Linked DNA regions of Rhinolophus ferrumequinum. The protein of the gene in region 2 interacts with the protein of the main gene of each other region in a biochemical or structural test. Links are inferred from orthologs where the notes say so. Each region holds a gene or a part of one and is shown on either strand. Other genes may lie near its edges.

Region 1 (4,695 bases), on a different chromosome or scaffold from region 2:
AAAAATGTTGCAGTTCAGGTACAACCACAATATGTTATTAGAGACTTTGTTCAGTTTGACTTGATGATTCAACTGTCAGGTCCTAACAGAAAACACTGGCGTTTTTCCAAGTGAGTCCAAATATAATTTTACACATGGCTTCCTAGCTCAATTTGGGGGTTTGGAGGGGTGTGACCTGGAAGAGTGCAGCATCACTCCCTTCCAGTCTCCTACACATGGGTCAAATCCTTGAAAAGCCATCTTTGGATGGAAAATTACTTTCTTTTTATTTTTGAGGCAGGCAGGAGGAGTGGTGTATGACTCAAGTTATGATTTTGCACCTAAGGACAATCTAACTTTTTAAGAAAACCCACAATCCAAAAATCCAAACGTTTAAAACAAGTTAACTAGGTATCAGGAACAAAGATACGTCGATTTACAAAAGGGTTCAGCAGAGGTTTTAAATAACTATTCCCTTACATTTTCCTTATTGTGTTTCAGAAAGCTATTTACAGACTTCAGGAGTCTATTTTATAAAGGAGGTTTTTAAAAAGCATTAACTCTGATGATAAAAATCGTTTTTAGAAAAATTGAAAAATATATTTTGAATATAAAAATCATCTATACTCCCAGCGTCAACACTGTCACCATGCTGGTATACATCCTTGCAGTTTGTAAAAACACCTTATGTAGACCGGTGTATGAAGTGTGCATAGTTTCAGAGCTTGTATTTTAACCTCTCGGGCTCCGCGGCGCAGGAGTGGCCGTCCGAGGCCGCGCCCGGCCGCGGAGGGGTGTCAGGGGCTCACAGCTCCTGTTTATCCTCCTGCCCCACGACCGGCAGCTGGGCTCCTGCAGGCTCCAGACACTCCCTCCTTTCCTCATTCTGCGCCACCTCCTTCAACTTCCTAGTTCCAACCACAGATAGTCTCTTAGACATCTCCTTAGCTCCAGCCCTCCCACTCTGGCACCAAAACCAAAAATCTCCTAAAAGCAGCAGTCACGTGGAACCTGGAGGCGGAAGCCCCCCAGCTGCGCCGGGCAGTGCGCGCTCCTGCGTGGGCGCGGCCCACTCGCGCCCGCCGCGCGTGCGCGCGCGCCACTGCGGACACGCGCCCCCTTCGGGCGGAGACGCGCCAGGGAAAGCGCGCGGCCGCGAGCCCCGGGCGCCATTTTGGAGTCGGTGTCCGGGCCGAGGTGCCGAGGGTCTCCGCGGCGGCGGGAGCTCGCTGAGTTTTTCACCGCGACGAGTGGTCTCGGGGGCAGGACGCGGACGGCGCGGGACTGGGAAGGAAGGCTTCTCTCTGGGCAGCCAGAGCCGCAAAGGTGGATCCGCATTGGTGCCCTCCGCGGGACCAGCGTCTCGGATGCGGGCGGAGCGCGGGGGGCCGCGGCGGCGGGAACCCGAAGCGCGGGGCCCGGGGGGCCTCATGTGAGAGCCGCGGAGCCAGCCGCCGCCATCCCCGGAGCCCGGGGTGGTGTGTGGGGGAAGCCGCCGCCGGCAGCAGGTAACGGCGGAGGGTTAGTGCCGGAGCCCCGCTGTGACGGCGGGACTGGGGAGGGTCGGCCGACATTGGTGGACTGCAGGGGGGGCCCGGGGGCGCGCGGTTCCGGGCGCGCGTGGGCCGCCCCTCGCGAGCGCGGGGCGGGGCGGGGCGCCGCGCTCAGACCTTGGAGCCTGCTTGGGGGCGTTTCCCCGCTCGCCCGCTTCTAAACATGTCAACAAGGCGTGGTGCGTGCGCGGCGGCGCGTGCAGCCTCCCCGCGGCCCCGCTGCGCCGCGGCTGTAGCCTGGCATTCTTCTTCTTGGCAGGGGTTGATGACAGGCACCTTTGAGCTCGCGCTGGGTCGGGGCCACGCCCGTGCCTAATCGCTGGAGAAATGAGGGGCATTAAATGTCAAAACAGACGGTCCAGGTAGGGCGCGCGAGATAAGTCAGGGAGGTGGCGCAGGGAGGAGGACATGCCCGGGGCGCGCGGCCAAGTGGAAAACTTGGTCAACTTGTGATGAGCAGCTGCTTCAGGTGGCGCTGCAGACAGGGATCAGGCAACAGCCTATCAGATGATGGGCCTGCATCTCTGAGCTAAGAAGTGAGATTACTACTGTATGTGTTATCTTGTTGCTGATGATACCCAGTGGCCCAGATATTTTAATTAGGCTTTTATTTTCTATCGTTCCTGAAATATTTATAAAAATGCCATTGACTGCCAGTTATCTACAAATGACCACTAGACAGATTTTCACCAGTGCATTTTCCCTACCTTCTAGTTCTGAGAGTTAATCTCTTTCCGTGGCTTTATTTTTGTATGCCAGCCAAAGAATGCGTGTTAATTTTGGTATTAGTCAAAGCAGAACATAAATGGAAAGGAAATACGAGGCCAAAGCAGGCTTTTGAGAGCTAAGTATAAATGGGCTTTTAAAATTACCACAAGCCCAGTGTACTAAGAGTGCCTGATACAGTGAGGGACGCACGGCTAAGTGGTCTCTTGTGCCCTTCATCTGACACAAGTGTGACTGCTCCTTTCAGAGTATGTGGAAATAATGAGTTAGTTCAGTAACTCCCTGCGCTGCTCAATGAATCTGCAGTTTTTCCTCATTAGTTTCATAGTGGTTATATCAGTCCCTCACCAAATGCTCTGCTGGCCCAAGTTGCATCAATTATTTAGAGCCCGGAAAAGTTGCATTTTGAAATTGAATTGCTGGAGCCCTGAGGAGGCCTGCCTGGTTTTGATGCTCTACAAAGTCACTTTGACATTGATTGTCCAGCTTCCTTTTCTTTCAGTCCTGTTAAAATATAATAGATGTGTCATTTTGATGAAAAGGCGGAGATAATCCATTGATGTAAATTCTTGGCAGACTGGTGGGTGCTTTGAATTGTTTAACTTTCTCTACAGAAGGACTTCATGTATAAATAGATTTAATAAAATACTTTTGAAAGCCATGTAAATTTTTGCATGGATAAATGAGATCATCTTGGAAAAATTGACATTTATAATTTTTATTAGATGCCCACTGGGTGATCTCTTTTTTCATGCACAAATGAGGATAATACAGAGACCATTTTTATTGGTATTTGGGCTTAGAGTTTTTTCTATTGCTTAATGGACTAGAATCCTGAAAAATTATAATCATATCATATACATGGTAATTTACACACTTTGTTCTGCTATTTATAAAGTAGTAAGTGCCTAAAATACACTTTGGTGATCACATAATCTTATATCTAGATGAAGTGTTGCATACTTCTTTTTAATATGTCAACTTTTTTCTCCCCTCAACTTGGAAAGGTACTGAAATATACTTTATTTAAAACAGGGTGGTAATAGATAAAAGAAAGTATCTATTAGGATCAGCAAAGTATTAGTAAAGATAATTGTGTAAATAAGACTGTCATTTTATTTTCATTTATATGTCCATATATTCTAAAGTAAGATGAATCATCTCATCTTTAAGTTGGATAGTTCTGGGTTTAGACGACTTCTCCAGAAAGAGGAGATCAGCATTCTGTAATGAGGAGTAGAAGTTATAAAGATGGCTTCATTCTTTTTTCCAATCTCTGTTATCTCAAAATTCTGAAGAGGTTTAGATATTCAGAAGAGAAATTATAAGCCCGAGGTAGCAAACTCTTTGTTCTTTGACCCAAATTTTGTACGCTAAAATTAAAGTAAGCCTTCAGAATAAGTGAAAGAAAAACAGGTCATAATGACAGTGTTATTTCAACCTCTAGTTGGACATTATTACTGTGAGAGGTATTTTTAAATTAAGATTACATTGTAGATTATACTACTCGTTTCTAAACGTATATTTAGAAAAGCGTTCTTAGATTCACACGTAAATTTTAGTCTTCCGTGAAACTACCCTCTTGCCACCACCTCTCATTGTTTTCTCCCTTTCTTTCCCCCTGCTATTTCAATAGGATATACACCATTTACTTCACTTAAGTAGAGCAATGAGGAAAAGGCAGTTTATTGCACATGTGCTAAGACCTCCTGAGCTGATTTTAATGGCATGAAGAGCAGGGGTCTCTGCCATTGTTTCCCTCCAGCCCCCAATCCTTTTTCACAAATTTTGCTAGCTACTAGGTACAGAATCTGCAAAGACTTATTCATACATACGCACATCCATTGTCCCACACTGGAATCAGAAATTCTTGTCTGCTGATGTGCCAGAAGAAGAGAGTTGGAGCCACAAGCTATCCTTTTCAAAAGCTACTATGACTCCAAATCCAAACCACCACCTTGCTAGAACTGCTCTCTAGAGACAAAAGTATTGCAGGCTCTAAACTAAATAGAGGTACTACTTAGTGGTCCCCACTTAGTTTAGAGCCTGCGATACTTATTTTTCTAAGTAACAAGCCAAAACAATTTTATCTGATTTACCTTTTTACCTGATTACAACGTTAATTCATTGACATTAAAAGAAATACATAAAATATAGAGAGTCATATTGGCAAAAAAAAAAATTTACCTGTAATCGCACTATTAATATAGTATGATCCAATTAACTGTTATAGTTACTATAATTAATGTGGTGAATTTACTTCCAATGTGTATTTCTCATATGTAAACTTCTTCTATTCTTGCCCTCTCTCACACACACTTCATTTTAAAACAGAAATAGGATCATTTTCCCTACTTTTACTGTGTTGTGCACTTTAATGTCTTTAATACTGGACTGCTTTCCTATACCTGAGTTGGACTGCATTACTGTACCTGAG
Region 2 (4,695 bases):
GCTCTGGTAACAATTTTATTGGTACCATACTGGTAACCATAAAATTTTACTGGTAACCATAAAATTGCTAAATTCCTTTATTGTTCATTCCCAAGTTCAGTAAGGGTTCCAAGCATGGGAACTTAGCACAACTTAGCACCAAATTGAAACAGACTGTTCTCCACTTGATAACCCCAGAGCTCCAGTATGACCAGACCATTTAGCCTAAGGTCAACACTTCATTGCAGGTGTTCATATGCTTGTCTTGCCATTCAGTCAGCCAATCAGCAAGCCCAGTGCTAGCCTCCATAGGAATAAGAGGGCTCCACCTGGCTCCCCAGGGCAGGAGTGGGGACAGTGTGCTTCATACCTCTGAATCCCACAGGGAATTCCAGTAGTGTTTGAGCACAATTGTACCATTGGGTCTCCTATACATAGAACTAGAAGAAAATAAATTCATCTGATGTCATAATTACTATCGCAACCCACATCCTCCACATTTCCAGTTCCTACTCTCAACCCTTTTACTGCTACCCATCAGACTCTGCCTCTTGCAAATGTCAAGTTGCTCAGCACAGATAGAAATATAGCTTTCCGGATAAAAGCAGATTAGAAATCACAATAATCTGGATGGAGTCCTCTTATTAGCTTTATGATATTGAGCAAGTCCCTCAACCTGCAGCAGCCTCAAAGTTTACTTATCTGTAAAATGAGAATAATAACAGCTCTTTCACTGGGGTTTATTGAATAAATGCAACTGGGCTGAGAGTAGTAAATGAGACAGTATGTATAAGGAGATTATCACGTTGTTTGGCATGTAAAGTGCACTCAATAAATGGTAGCTGTAGATGATGTAATAGATTGAGGTATATGGTGATGACGATGTTAATGACATGGTGACCTGGACGCCGGTTGTCCAGGTTCCGTATGTTACTGGCTGGAGTCACAGCAACCCCCGCCAGCCCAGGCAGCTTTTTCCGGTGACAGGCATTGAATAGGACGCATGTAAGGGATCCGCTGTCCTTCGAGACTGCGTCTGTGTCCAGATCTCCGCGAGAATCTCCAGCCTGCGTCATCTGCCCTGCCCGCTGGCCGCTCCCAAGCCCACCGACACATGGTGGGAACGTGAGGGGGCGGGGCCGGACTCGGCGCCGCTGGGCCAATCGCTCGGCGGGAGGCGCCCAGCCAATGGCAGAGACGCCCCAGGGCCCGAGGGGCAGGGCCACAGAGAGGAGAGGCGGTGTCATAGGTCATTGGGCGGGCTGGGGGCGGGGCCCACGGCGCTGACAGGGGCTGTACAGCAGTGGCCGGGAGCAGTCAGGGCGGTGATGGCGGCGGCTGTGGTGACCGCGGCAGCAGTGACCCCTGCGCCTGAGGCCGGCACGGATGGCGCCTCCTCAGTGCATTGGTTCCGCAAGGGGCTTCGGCTCCACGACAACCCGGCGCTGCTGGCGGCAGTGCGCGGGGCGCGCTGCGTGCGCTGTATTTACATCCTCGACCCCTGGTTCGCGGCCTCCTCCTCCGTGGGGATCAACCGATGGAGGTAAGGGGGCCCGGGGCCGGGTCGCGGGCTCGGGGTACGCAGCCTGGCCTCTGGGGCGCCTGGCGAAGAGCCTGAGTCATCCCCCACCCAAAGGAGGGAGATCCTGCTCCCCAGCTCCGACGGCCGGAAGACCCCGGCCTGAGGGAGGTGGGGCAGGAAGATGGAGCCGGGTCTCCAAAGGGGAGAAGGCAGGACCAGGGAAGCAATTAGTCATCGTACCAAAGGCTTGGATGGGCCAGGGCTCACTCTCTGACAAAGTGCTTCCGCACTGTGTGTTATCCTCCTTTGGGCCGCAGACATTCCTGTGGGACAGAGATCATGATCTCCATTGTACAGATGAGACTCTTAAGCCCTAGAGACAAAAGTTGACCTGCCCAAGGTCTTGGCAGCCAGTGAGTGACAGAACAGGGACTCCTGGTCTGGGGCTCTTAGGGGTGTGCTCAAGGACTGGAGGAAAGGAGATACTGTGATGTGAGGGTAGGGTTGGATTTCTGAGTTTATGGCACAGAGATGCTTGCGTTCTTCAAGTCAAGAGCCCGTTGCTGGGCTCCTGAAGGTCATCTCTAAGCCTCTGGTTTGTCTGAATTTGTCTTTTCACCCATCCTGGTTTCCCTACCCCAAGACTGTGCTGCCTCTGGAGGTGTCTAGAGATTCTGGCTTAACATTAGATAAGCCAAGTGCAATCTTCCCGTTGTTATTGATAAAGACCCGAAGGGCGTGTTCAGTTAGAGGTACTGTGTGTCCTGACCTAGGGAGCCGTACTTCACCCATTTTGGAGAATTCCCTCAGCAGCTGTGAGTTTGCTAGAAAAGAAAAAAAAAAAGGAACCAAACAAAGTGTCACTTCCTTGTACCTCTTCTCGTGAGAATGATTTTAAAGGTCAGTTGCGCCACTATAGATTAGATTTTTATCAACTTTTGTGGTAAGATTAGGGAGCCGCAAAGGTGTGATATCAAGGGCTCCCCTTTGGTGACTCAGGAGATGGAGTCTGCAGGATCATGGGAAAGGATAACAGATAGGTAGTTGATGTATTTTCTCTGTAACCAGTGTTCAAAACCAAGGAGTTGTGAGACATTGTGTACCCATCTCTTTAAAATGCCCCTCAGCTGTCATTTGGTTTGCTTGCATTGTTCTGGGGGATGTTTGCTTGTGGCCTTGTCAACCCATGGGCAGGGTTATTCCCAGGAGACAGTGGCTCACAGCACAACTCTCTTTTCTCTCCAGAGTGTGTGCCCTTCCAGGAGAGTGAGTGCTTCTCACAGTGGGTCTATGAAATGTCCCCTCCTGCCCCATTTATATAGAGGGAATGACTAAAGATAGTCCTGTGGAGAGCCCGCCCACACAGTTTTCAGGCTGCTCTATTGCTCTGCCTCTGCTCCACTTTCCATAGACAGGAGCTTGGCTTTGACAAACACCCTCAAATGACCGTCCCTAGCATGGTCATTAAAGCGAGCCTCAGACGTTGCCCCTTTCCTTATGGCAGTGTGCCAATCAGAGCAGAGTCAATAGAATAGGGCTACCTGCTTGTACCTAATGTCACGAAGGAGTTTCTTCTTTTACTGGGTGATGCGGGACATTGCGTAGCACTGCCTACGCCTTGTGATAGTGGAGATTAAACATCAGCAACAAAAACCGTTGTTGATTAAACTCAGATTTGCTAGGAACAAGGTGTTTATGGATTTTTATGGGTCACCCTTTTGTGATTGTGCCTTCCAGCGAGTGAAAGAGAAAAGGAACGTGGCAGCTGCTGCCTACATCAAACCCTGAAATCAGAGGCTGTGTAGGCATGCAGATATTAACTGAGCAATTATTTAATGAGTGCCTCGTATCTAACCAGGCACTGTTCTAGGTGCTGCTAGGAACATAGCAATGAACAAGCAGAGGTGGCGTCCAGAACTCCTGGAGCCTACATTTTAGTGGAGGAAGACAAGTAAACAACTATCATTTAGTAGAACTGAGGGTCACGAAATAAAATAGGGGGACGGACTAGAGCAGTGGTTTTCAATCTTGCAACACCTGGGAATCACTGAAGGATCTTTCAAAGATTCCTGGACTCTCTCCTCCCCCAATTCTGATTTAATTGTTCTGGCTTACGGCGTGGGCATTAGGGTTTTTAAAGCTCTCATGTGCTGGAAAGCCTGAGGAGCCAACCATTGGGGAGAAATGTTTCTGTGCATTGGCAGGAAGTCTAATTAGTTTGGGCATTTGGAAGAAACAAGTGAAATAATACAAAACAGATGGAATAGGATAACTGCTCCTGGGCCTGGAGAAAGACACACTCCTGCCACCCCCACCTTACTCCGCGCTCCCATGATCAGATCCAGGGCAGAGCTGCAGCGTGTTTTATGCATGCAGTTGAGCGTTGGGAGTGATGGAGCCAGCAGTTCTTCTGCATAACTACAATATGTGTAATCTTCCGGTGGCTGTTTCTGGATGTGGGAGTGGTCTGGGAGAATTGTGCTGCAGCATAACATCCTCGCTCTGCAAATACTTCAGCTATGGCCTCTGAGAAGCCTCCCTAGGAAGGGCGGGCCCCGGGCTGGCTGCAAGAGGTGGGGGAAGCAAAATCTGTGATCTCTATTATTCTCCTGCATTTCCTACGCTGACTCCCACACAGCATTTTTCACAGATGTATCAGATTAAAATAACCACGAATGGCACATTCTAAGAGTAAAAGAGGACAGAGAGGCAGCCATGGAATATATATATTTCTTAGCATAGGAGAAGGGCTAGCATACACCTTGCCTTGGTGGTAGTGAGAAGTTTATTAGCTAATTGGAGCTATATGAGCCTCGGGACCTTTTTTTTTTGTCAAGCACTAGTTGGCTAAGCCCTTTGCCAAAATTTTCCCCAGCTCCACCTTCCCCAAATATGCTGTATCTGGAAAGAGGTACTGCAGTGAGAAAAAAAAAAAGGGGCGTGGGTGTGTGTGTGAGCAGCTTCTAGATTTAAAAATGGGTTCTCAAAATGGGCCCTTGCAGTTTTTCATTACCTTTCTCTCCTTACTGCAATTTAGGTAGGTGTTGGCAACAATTCACCACACCCTTATTTAAATCATTTTCTCCCTGGCTCTGTGCTGCTCCTGCATCCAGGAGCTTCTGGGACAGAGAGAGTTGGTAGAAATAAAATATCAGTCCATATCACTCAGAATTAATAAATGCGGTGAACGGCCA

What was found. The genes of interacting proteins can lie anywhere in the genome.
Region 1: the proteins of CRY2 (region 2) and FBXL3 form a complex in vitro, tested with the Homo sapiens proteins (2 studies listed by BioGRID, with this or other methods). The link is inferred for Rhinolophus ferrumequinum from reciprocal best matches to the Homo sapiens genes CRY2 and FBXL3.

Annotation. Positions count from the first base shown.
Region 1 is NC_046287.1:27,891,014-27,895,708, reverse strand, and holds the start of FBXL3 (F-box/LRR-repeat protein 3), read left to right. Parts: upstream 1-1,791; 5' UTR 1,792-1,859; coding exon 1,860-1,894; intron 1,895-4,695. UniProt on the Homo sapiens protein: Substrate-recognition component of the SCF(FBXL3) E3 ubiquitin ligase complex involved in circadian rhythm function. Plays a key role in the maintenance of both the speed and the robustness of the circadian clock oscillation.
Region 2 is NC_046294.1:15,001,490-15,006,184, reverse strand, and holds the start of CRY2 (cryptochrome-2), read left to right. Parts: upstream 1-1,265; 5' UTR 1,266-1,307; coding exon 1,308-1,522; intron 1,523-4,695. UniProt on the Homo sapiens protein: Transcriptional repressor which forms a core component of the circadian clock.